Linked DNA regions of Drosophila melanogaster. The gene in region 1 interacts genetically with each later gene. Each region holds a gene or a part of one and is shown on either strand. Other genes may lie near its edges. The genes, in order: CCKLR-17D1 and Dsk.

Region 1 (4,862 bases):
TAAGTTAGTGCGGGGGCGGCCAAGATGGATATGCCAGGGTACGCCAGGATACGTCAGGATGCCGGGGGCAGTGGATAGGGGGGGGGGGTGGTGTTGGAGGCCAGGAGAGAACAGCGGTTCCGGCAGTACCGAAAACAAACTTGCAGCAAGACAAACAACATCACCAGCACGTCTGAAACGGAAACGCAGGAAACAGGAAACAAGTCATGAAAATGCAAGGAAGGGTGTCAGAAGGATCGGCGAGGGGACGTAAAGGATGTGGAGCAGCTAGCGGAGCTGATGGAGCTGATGGGGGAAAGGGGCTTCGGAACGGAACACTACAAGAAAATCGCGACGTGACGCTGCATAGCAGAGTGATTTTCGCAATATTGCCACGGTTAAAAGCAATTCCAGACTGCTTAGGCTGCGACTTGAGTGCTACAACGCCAAAGGAGCAAGGAACAGGGTAACAGGAGCTGGGTGAGAAGGGTGAGTAGGCTCCCAGATCGACACTGCGTACATATGGAAATTGACCAGAATGCTGAGCAGAAGCAGAGCTCCCGGCAGGCGAGCAATTTGCATTGGAAATGGGGATCAGCCTGGATTAATCTTGCGGGAATGGAGGATGACTGGCCTGGACTGAGCTTCATCATCCGTTTGGATGCGCCTCCAAGGAGTCCTAGGAGGTGAAACAGGTTGAGGACCTCTCCTTACCGTTATGAAAATAATTAGAATGTCCGATGGCATGCACTTTGATTAAATAAGCAAATTAATGCCGCTCGGCTCCTTGAAACCGAAATGCCGATTAGCATTTGTGACAGGTGTCAGGGCCACATTTCTGCTTCATTCTGTTCCACTGCCGCCGACGGGACATGGAATCACGCCGAAGGCGAACCATATCACAGATGGCTGAACCGGGCTCAGCTGATGAATATCGCCACCCACATCACCAACCCTTATCTGAGCTGGAGACACAAATTAATGCCTGGTGAGAATGTTTACCCATCTGACTGGACTTTTCAAGGACCAAACATGAGTTTTGGGCACAGTCATTGAGTTGAAATGGTTTTAAAGAGCTTCCCCCGCATATTTACAGTGTGCGAGTGCGTGTGTGTGCGTGTGTGTGTCGTGTGCGTGGGCCTATTTAATCTTTTGAACCCTTGAGGAACCCAAAACCCGGTGCTCGCTGGTCGGGGAAACCCTGACTGTCGTTACGCAAATGCGGGCGGCCATCATAAAATACGGCCATTCTCAGGCGGATGCAGATTGGGAGACGAGATATAGTGCGTTCTTGCCAACGAAATATGATTTAGGCCATAAATAAGCGCGGAAATTGTGCGTAAAATCGATGGCAGACTCAGTTTTCCTAAGTGGAAAAGTGATGTGCACAAGCGCACAATCTAAAATATACAGTATGGTCATTTAAAACTTATCTTCTCCCCACTACACTACTTTGTATATTATACAATATTAAGCTTAGCTAAGTGATTTCAAAAGGGTGACTTTAAAGAGAATCTCAAAGCATAGTGAATGTACACTGAACGACATCTTTATTTTCTGCCAATCGTCATTTACTTAAGACTCTACTAGGATTTTGTTAAGAACCAATAGCAAGAAATCATCGATGGCCACGCCTGCAGAAAATCCACTTTCATTTCCAGCTAGACGACCCCTTCTTGCCCTTCCCAAAGGTCTCGAAGTATGAAATCATCCTCGAAAGCTTTGGGATGATGACCAATGTGGACAAGTGGCCATCACCCAAGTACACTGGGGATCTGGGGCTACGACGGAACAGCCTTCGTTTTCGACTTGGAATAAACTCCACACGTGGCTATCTGTCTAGACTTAACCATTATTTGACCTTTTCGTCATTGGAGGCCCTAGATGCGGATTCAGATTCATTTGCTGCTGCGGATTTGGGCATGGATGCGGATGCGGATGCTGGTGGTGATGCGGAGGAGGCGGTCGAACGGGACAAACGAATTTGCTGATGGCGACGCCGGCGACGGAAGTACTGGCTCGACACCACCTGAACCGAGTCCATGAATCGATCCATACAGTTGGCCAGGCAGTCGCGCTCCGTGGAGCGCAACTCCATTTCCGGCATAGCGATACATACGTCGAAGCAGCGACGTGTCATCTTCTTTATCAGCTCCTGAATGTTGGCCAACACGATCTGCTGGCGAATCCGCTCGAGGTCGTGCTGGTTCGTGGCCATTTGACAAGCGATTATGGGGCTCGGTCACGGGGATAGGGACTAATAAATGCGGAATTCACAGTTGGAAGTTTGGGATAACCTTTTAATTTGGACACGGACAAGACATAAATGAACTGGCCTACTGGCTTCCACCACTCACCCTGAGCAAACTGGATGAGCTTGCAGAGCAGCTCGCCGAATATGAAATGCCTTAGCAGAGTGCCGACCAGGGTCACCGGCATGCAGAATACGCCGAGCAGGATGTCCGAGATGGCCAGGTTGAGCAGAAAAACGTTCGTGATGGTGCGCATGCGACGATTCTGGACGAGCGTTAGCACCACCAGCAGGTTCCCGACCACGGCGCACAGAAGGATGGCCGAATAGCACGGCACCACCCAGATGGGCACATCGGCACTGACCCTCACCACGCTCCTGTTCCCCGGTGTCCTGACGGTTACAGCTGGCGCCAAGGTGCTGCTGCTGGGAGTAGTGGCTAGGTCCATGTCCAGATTAAGATCCAAATCCAGTCCGAGATCCAATTCCAGCCCGCTGTAGTTGAGAAGATCACCGGGTGTCCCTGTGATGGTGACCCCGTCACCGACAGCGGAGATCTCGTTGCTGGCATTCAGGTGGATCGCAGCCTCCTTGGCCAGCGGCAGCGCCTGGCGCAGGTAGTGGTAGAAGGCGTCAATCGTGAGGCCGAAGAAGGATGCTCGTTTGTGATCCCGGAATAGCACTAGCAATCGGGGACTTGCACTTGCAGCAGTACAACACACTTCGTCAACTTCACGCAACAAAAAATTGGGCTTAGGTCGGGATTGAGTGTCGGCACAGCCGTATGGAGTTCGGGTTCCGCGATGTGTGTCGCGCCTCGCAATCTTCGCGAAGCACTGACGGCAAGCGTCGGCGCTTTTTGTGACCACCAGCCGGCGCCAAGCGACCGCAACATGCTGCCAAAGGACATAGAGGCACAACTCACCACAGGCGCGGCAACATGTTGCCAGCTGGACTTGTTGATATATCGCACGCTGTGCTCGCTGCTTAGTAGTAGCTCTAGTTATATTTTTGATCACGTTTAAGGAACTTCATTTATTACATCCCACAAATCGGCTAAGAGAAAACCATATGAAAAAAGTCGCTAAATCACCCAATTACGACGATTTGTTGTCATCCACGACGATTCAGTGATGGTAACAAATTGGCATCGAAAGAGCGTTGTTAGAAGGACATTAATTCGGAATATATATTTTGACGACTCAATTCAATTGATTGGCAAGATGGCTACTTTGTAGAATCCCTGCATTCTCTGCTATACAAGTAGAATCAGAAGAAGACGGTTCATACAATATAATCTGAACTGAAGATTAGCAATAGGTGTACTTCATTATATCCTATTACATTACATCCCTATTTATAGTTCTTTCCCGTATAGCCAAACCCATTTAGAAACCTACGAAAGTGCCTGAGAGAAGGACAAATCGCTTTCACCGGATAGCATAGCATACATTCGGGGGCAAACGAGATGATTGAGCCCGCACGATGTTTGGCAATCGGTTGAAGTGGCTGGAGTGGCTGGAGTGGCTGGAGTGGCTGGGTGAGTAATTTGCATGTCTCCCCGAGGAACTGCGGAATCAGTGGCTCCTGCCAGAGCGGAAAAGCCAACGAAAGGTCACATTTGTCAACTTAATTAGCGGACCTCCGGTGATTCCGTGGGCCTCCAGCTGCCATCTTCCATCTTCCAGCTTACACCTTTGGCTCATTATTTAAAGACTTTGTCGCCGTTTGTTTGCCTTGCGACCCGAGTTTATAAATCACTTCGCGCCACTGGAGGAGCCATAAAGTGAAACCCGAGTGGTTTATTTGCCACTTCCACGCCTTTGGTGGCCTCAACAGGTTGTGTTGCAAGTTGCAAACTTTATTTGGGCTCCAGTTCAGGCGAGTAATCGACTTTGGTGGACCAAATTAACTGCAGACGGATTCTTTGGCCGCTCAAGCGACCGAAAACTTTCCAACGGATTCACTTTATCTGCAAGTTTCGCATCCGCGCTGTAGAGTGTTCCACCAAAAAATGTGGGTTAACGTTTGCCTAAATTGATTAATTCAATTTGACTCTTTCGGCGAACTTCTCGCGAAAGACAAACTTTGTCGGGCGCATAAATAATGCTGCAACATTAATTAAAGTGGCCAGAAGCGTTGGGCGGATCGAAGTGGCGAGTTTGGGTTTTTTGGGTGTTTCGGTTGTTTTTTTGTCTGGCGGTCGGTCGGTCCGTTGGCACTTTAGCAATCCAGCCTTCATTTTATTTATTTACTTTGGGCTTTAATTAATTTTAATTATTGTATTTGCATTCGCAACGGCTCAGTTGTTGTTTTAAAACTTTATGGAGTAGTGATTGCCGGCCGTTAATGCAATCAGGCAGCCGAAAATTACAGTTGCCATCGCTAATGGCCAGATACGAACACAGATACAGATACAGATACAGATATAGTATGGGTAATCCCAGTGATTGCCATAAGAACAGAGCAACAGAAGCAACAGATACACTGCGAATGCATAATGAGCATGTCGGGGAATGCCCCTGAATAATGAATTAATCGTCCATTTCAGCTGCTAGTTCCCGCGATCCAAAGCCATTTATTACCAAAGACATTTCACCAACCACCCACCCACTTGAAGGACACTACGCCA
Region 2 (3,318 bases), on another chromosome or scaffold:
TTGGCGTAAACACATTGGATTGGCCACGTCAAAGTCCAGACCTCAACATAATAGAAAACCTCTGGTCATATTTAAAAAGAAAAAGGAGTGCAAACTTATCTAGAAGTCGCGAAGAAACGATTTTGGAAATTCAAACCTTATATTTCAATAGATTATATCCACAGCTTGGTACAGTCTGTACCAAAACGTCTGCAAAAGGTGACGCTAAGGGAGGGTATATTTTTTTATTAATTTGTCATAATTTTTTTTCAATTTATAAAATTTAAATAATTTGCCCAAATACTTATGCCATTGCTAATTTGTAAGAAAGTGATTTTTGTTAAATCAACAATGAAGTTATCCATATGTTTATGTTACCTCTACATTTAACTACGATAGCCTACCTATTTACTAAAATTATTAAACAATTTTGCTTTAAGTAAACAATAAGTTACAAACAAATATATTGAAAATATTTCTTGTCCAAATACTTATGCCCACTAGTGTATATATATGTATGTACTTCCGTAGAGTGCCGCGACTATTAGATACCGCTTACTCAAATAACTGAAGTGCGACAGATGTGCAATCAGTAGAGACGACTCTTTTCTATTAACTTTTTTAACTTCTATTAACTCTTTTTTCATAGGTTTCTACTAAATCAGATTCTAACAGTTCTTGGAACGTAGATAAGCATTGATAAGCTTAACTTAATATCATTAACGAATACGTTCAGAATGTAGGCAACGGGTATCATAAGCAGAATCTTCAGATAAATTACCCGGCACTTATAGGAGGTCTTATTTCTCAATGTCCATTTTGTAAGCTCTTCGACAAGAATGGTTTTCGCAAAGTTATTGGGGATAAACAATATAAGCACAAATAAGGTATGTATTCCGACCATAAAAACGCGTTGTTTGTCTTATTGAAATCTAATGGTCGGTCTCACCGTCACACTGTTTTGTTTTTTGAACGAACGATACCGCTCCCAAGTGAGAACTGCCGGTTGAAGACTTTGTCGACCTCGAAGTAACAAGTCGACAAAATGTGGTAAAAGCTATCGATTAATGGGTTCATCGAATAAGTAATGAGAAAAGAAAATAACTATAATCGATAGGCTTTTACTTAAATTTCATGACGAAAGTTTCGGAGCAATCGGACGGACAGGGTCAGATCGACTCGGCTATTGATCCTGATCAAAAAATATATACTTCAAATGGTCGGAAAAGGCCTTCGGCATTTTACATACTTTATAGGGTATACTAGCCTTTCAAATGTGTAGCCATTGCAGTTTTGGTCAGCATGCGGGTGTGTAGGGGTCACAAGAGTCTACATGTCCAATGGTAATGCCCATGTAATATACATGATTTTCAAATTCACATTACAAACAAGAAATGCTTGTTTGGGCTTTGCTGATGGGTATCGTGTTAATATCAGTTGGAATCATAGGCATATCCGTTAAAAAACCTCCCTTTTGAATTTCGCATTTGGATTTGGTTCAGATCAGCACTGTCAACCTCATGCCCATATACAATGGTTCACAGCTCAGTTTAACCAAAGACAATAGTATATTCTATTCGCAACAGCTTTTAAAATTTAAAAAGAAATATCTTCTGAACATATCTGTAAGTCTCACACTAGCTCACACTTCTTTGCTGGCAAATTTATAAAAATTTGAATCAGAATGTATTTCCGAATATTAAATTTAACCATGGATATGCGCTTTTTATTTAAAATTGTTTGTCTGGCACAGCTACTAGCCCCCTGATATTATGCTGAAGAATGTTTCAGAAAACCACTAGAGTATACTCGCCCAGCGCCCTAATACAGACGGTTACTCATCATACTTAATTCTTTTAGGCATGCCGTCGAATTCAATTATTGTCAGGACAGCATCAAAGTTAGTTTAATCAATCAAGTCAATCACAAGTCAAAGTCAATTTCTGTTATCTCAACACCTCTAAACACTTGACAGCCGCGGTAACGGAATATTAAACAGGCGAGAAAGATGGCCACAAACGCAATCGTATAAAAAGGAAGCGCCAACTTAGATGTTCACCAGTCTGCCAAGGGCACAGTAAAGCATGGGACCTAGAAGCTGTACGCACTTCGCCACGCTGTTTATGCCACTCTGGGCATTAGCCTTCTGCTTCCTGGTGGTGCTGCCGATCCCAGCGCAGACGACTAGTCTACAGAACGCTAAGGATGATCGGCGACTACAGGAATTGGAGTCAAAAATTGGTGGGGAAATCGATCAGCCCATTGCGAATTTAGTTGGACCATCATTCTCTCTATTCGGGGACAGGCGTAATCAGAAAACAATGAGCTTCGGTCGCAGAGTGCCACTAATTTCACGCCCAATAATACCAATTGAGCTGGATCTCCTCATGGATAATGATGACGAAAGAACGAAAGCTAAGCGGTTTGATGATTACGGCCATATGAGGTTTGGTAAAAGGGGAGGTGATGATCAGTTCGATGACTACGGTCACATGCGTTTCGGCCGATAAACACTTGCCATCAGTTTAGTCATTTAGAAAACCGATTATGTATATTGTACATAGAAATTAATCGAGCACACATTTTATATTAACAAGTATATAAAAAGTAATAAATGTTCGCATTCAAAAATTTAATATTTCGTATTATAGCCGAATTCTTAGAGTAAGCTATGATGGATTCATTGAAAAAAGGATTTTTAGTCCCTTGCATATAGGTGTATTGATTCCTAGCAGAATTTATCACCGCGGTAAAAAGCCTCCATTTATCCGGTATATAAAAAAAGGGCTGCACCTTCAATATATAAAAAGTTTTATTTAATTATTTGTGACGAAAGCATTTGAAAGGTTCTCCGACTTTCGAATTGTGAATACCTTTTAAAGACGCATCGGATTTACTTAACAAGAATTATTGTCGTTGATGTATGTTTCCCTTAGGCCCATTTATATACAGCTGTGTTCAGAAAAATAGCAGTGCTTTGGACTTGAGAGTTTAAGATAAAAATTTCCTATGATTTACAGTTTTAATGGGAAATTTTTTTTTATAATATCATTAGGTATTTAATTTCAAACAATTTAACAAATGTTTCACTTTTATTTCTTCAATAGTTTCGAAAATATAGAATAAAACAACATAATAGGCAGAAATTCTGGTGTTCAATGAAATAGCAGTGCTATGAAAAAATAGTAACAAAATTAAACTTGACTTAGAAACGAACTTAGTTTTTCTTTTTAATATGTTAATTCGGGCCTAATACTTGGCTGGAAAGCCTTTGTTAGCCAGCACAGCCTTACACCCACGCGACATGGAGTCCACCAGGTCCTGGCAACGTTTGGGAGG

The links.
Region 2: of CCKLR-17D1 (region 1) and Dsk, changing one suppresses a phenotype caused by changing the other (phenotypic suppression), as found in Drosophila melanogaster (one study listed by BioGRID).

The regions. Positions count from the first base shown.
Region 1 is NC_004354.4:18,723,401-18,728,262, forward strand, and holds the start of CCKLR-17D1 (Cholecystokinin-like receptor at 17D1), read right to left. Parts: upstream 3,173-4,862; coding exon 3,156-3,172; intron 3,086-3,155; coding exon 2,337-3,085; intron 2,273-2,336; exon of another isoform or gene 2,198-2,272; coding exon of another isoform or gene 1,832-2,197; exon of another isoform or gene 1,514-1,831; intron 1-1,513. Other genes in the region: CG42302 (uncharacterized protein), read right to left, coding at 1,832-2,197.
Region 2 is NT_033777.3:4,188,979-4,192,296, reverse strand, and holds Dsk (drosulfakinin), read left to right. Parts: upstream 1-2,036; 5' UTR 2,037-2,063; coding exon 2,064-2,489; 3' UTR 2,490-2,605; downstream 2,606-3,318.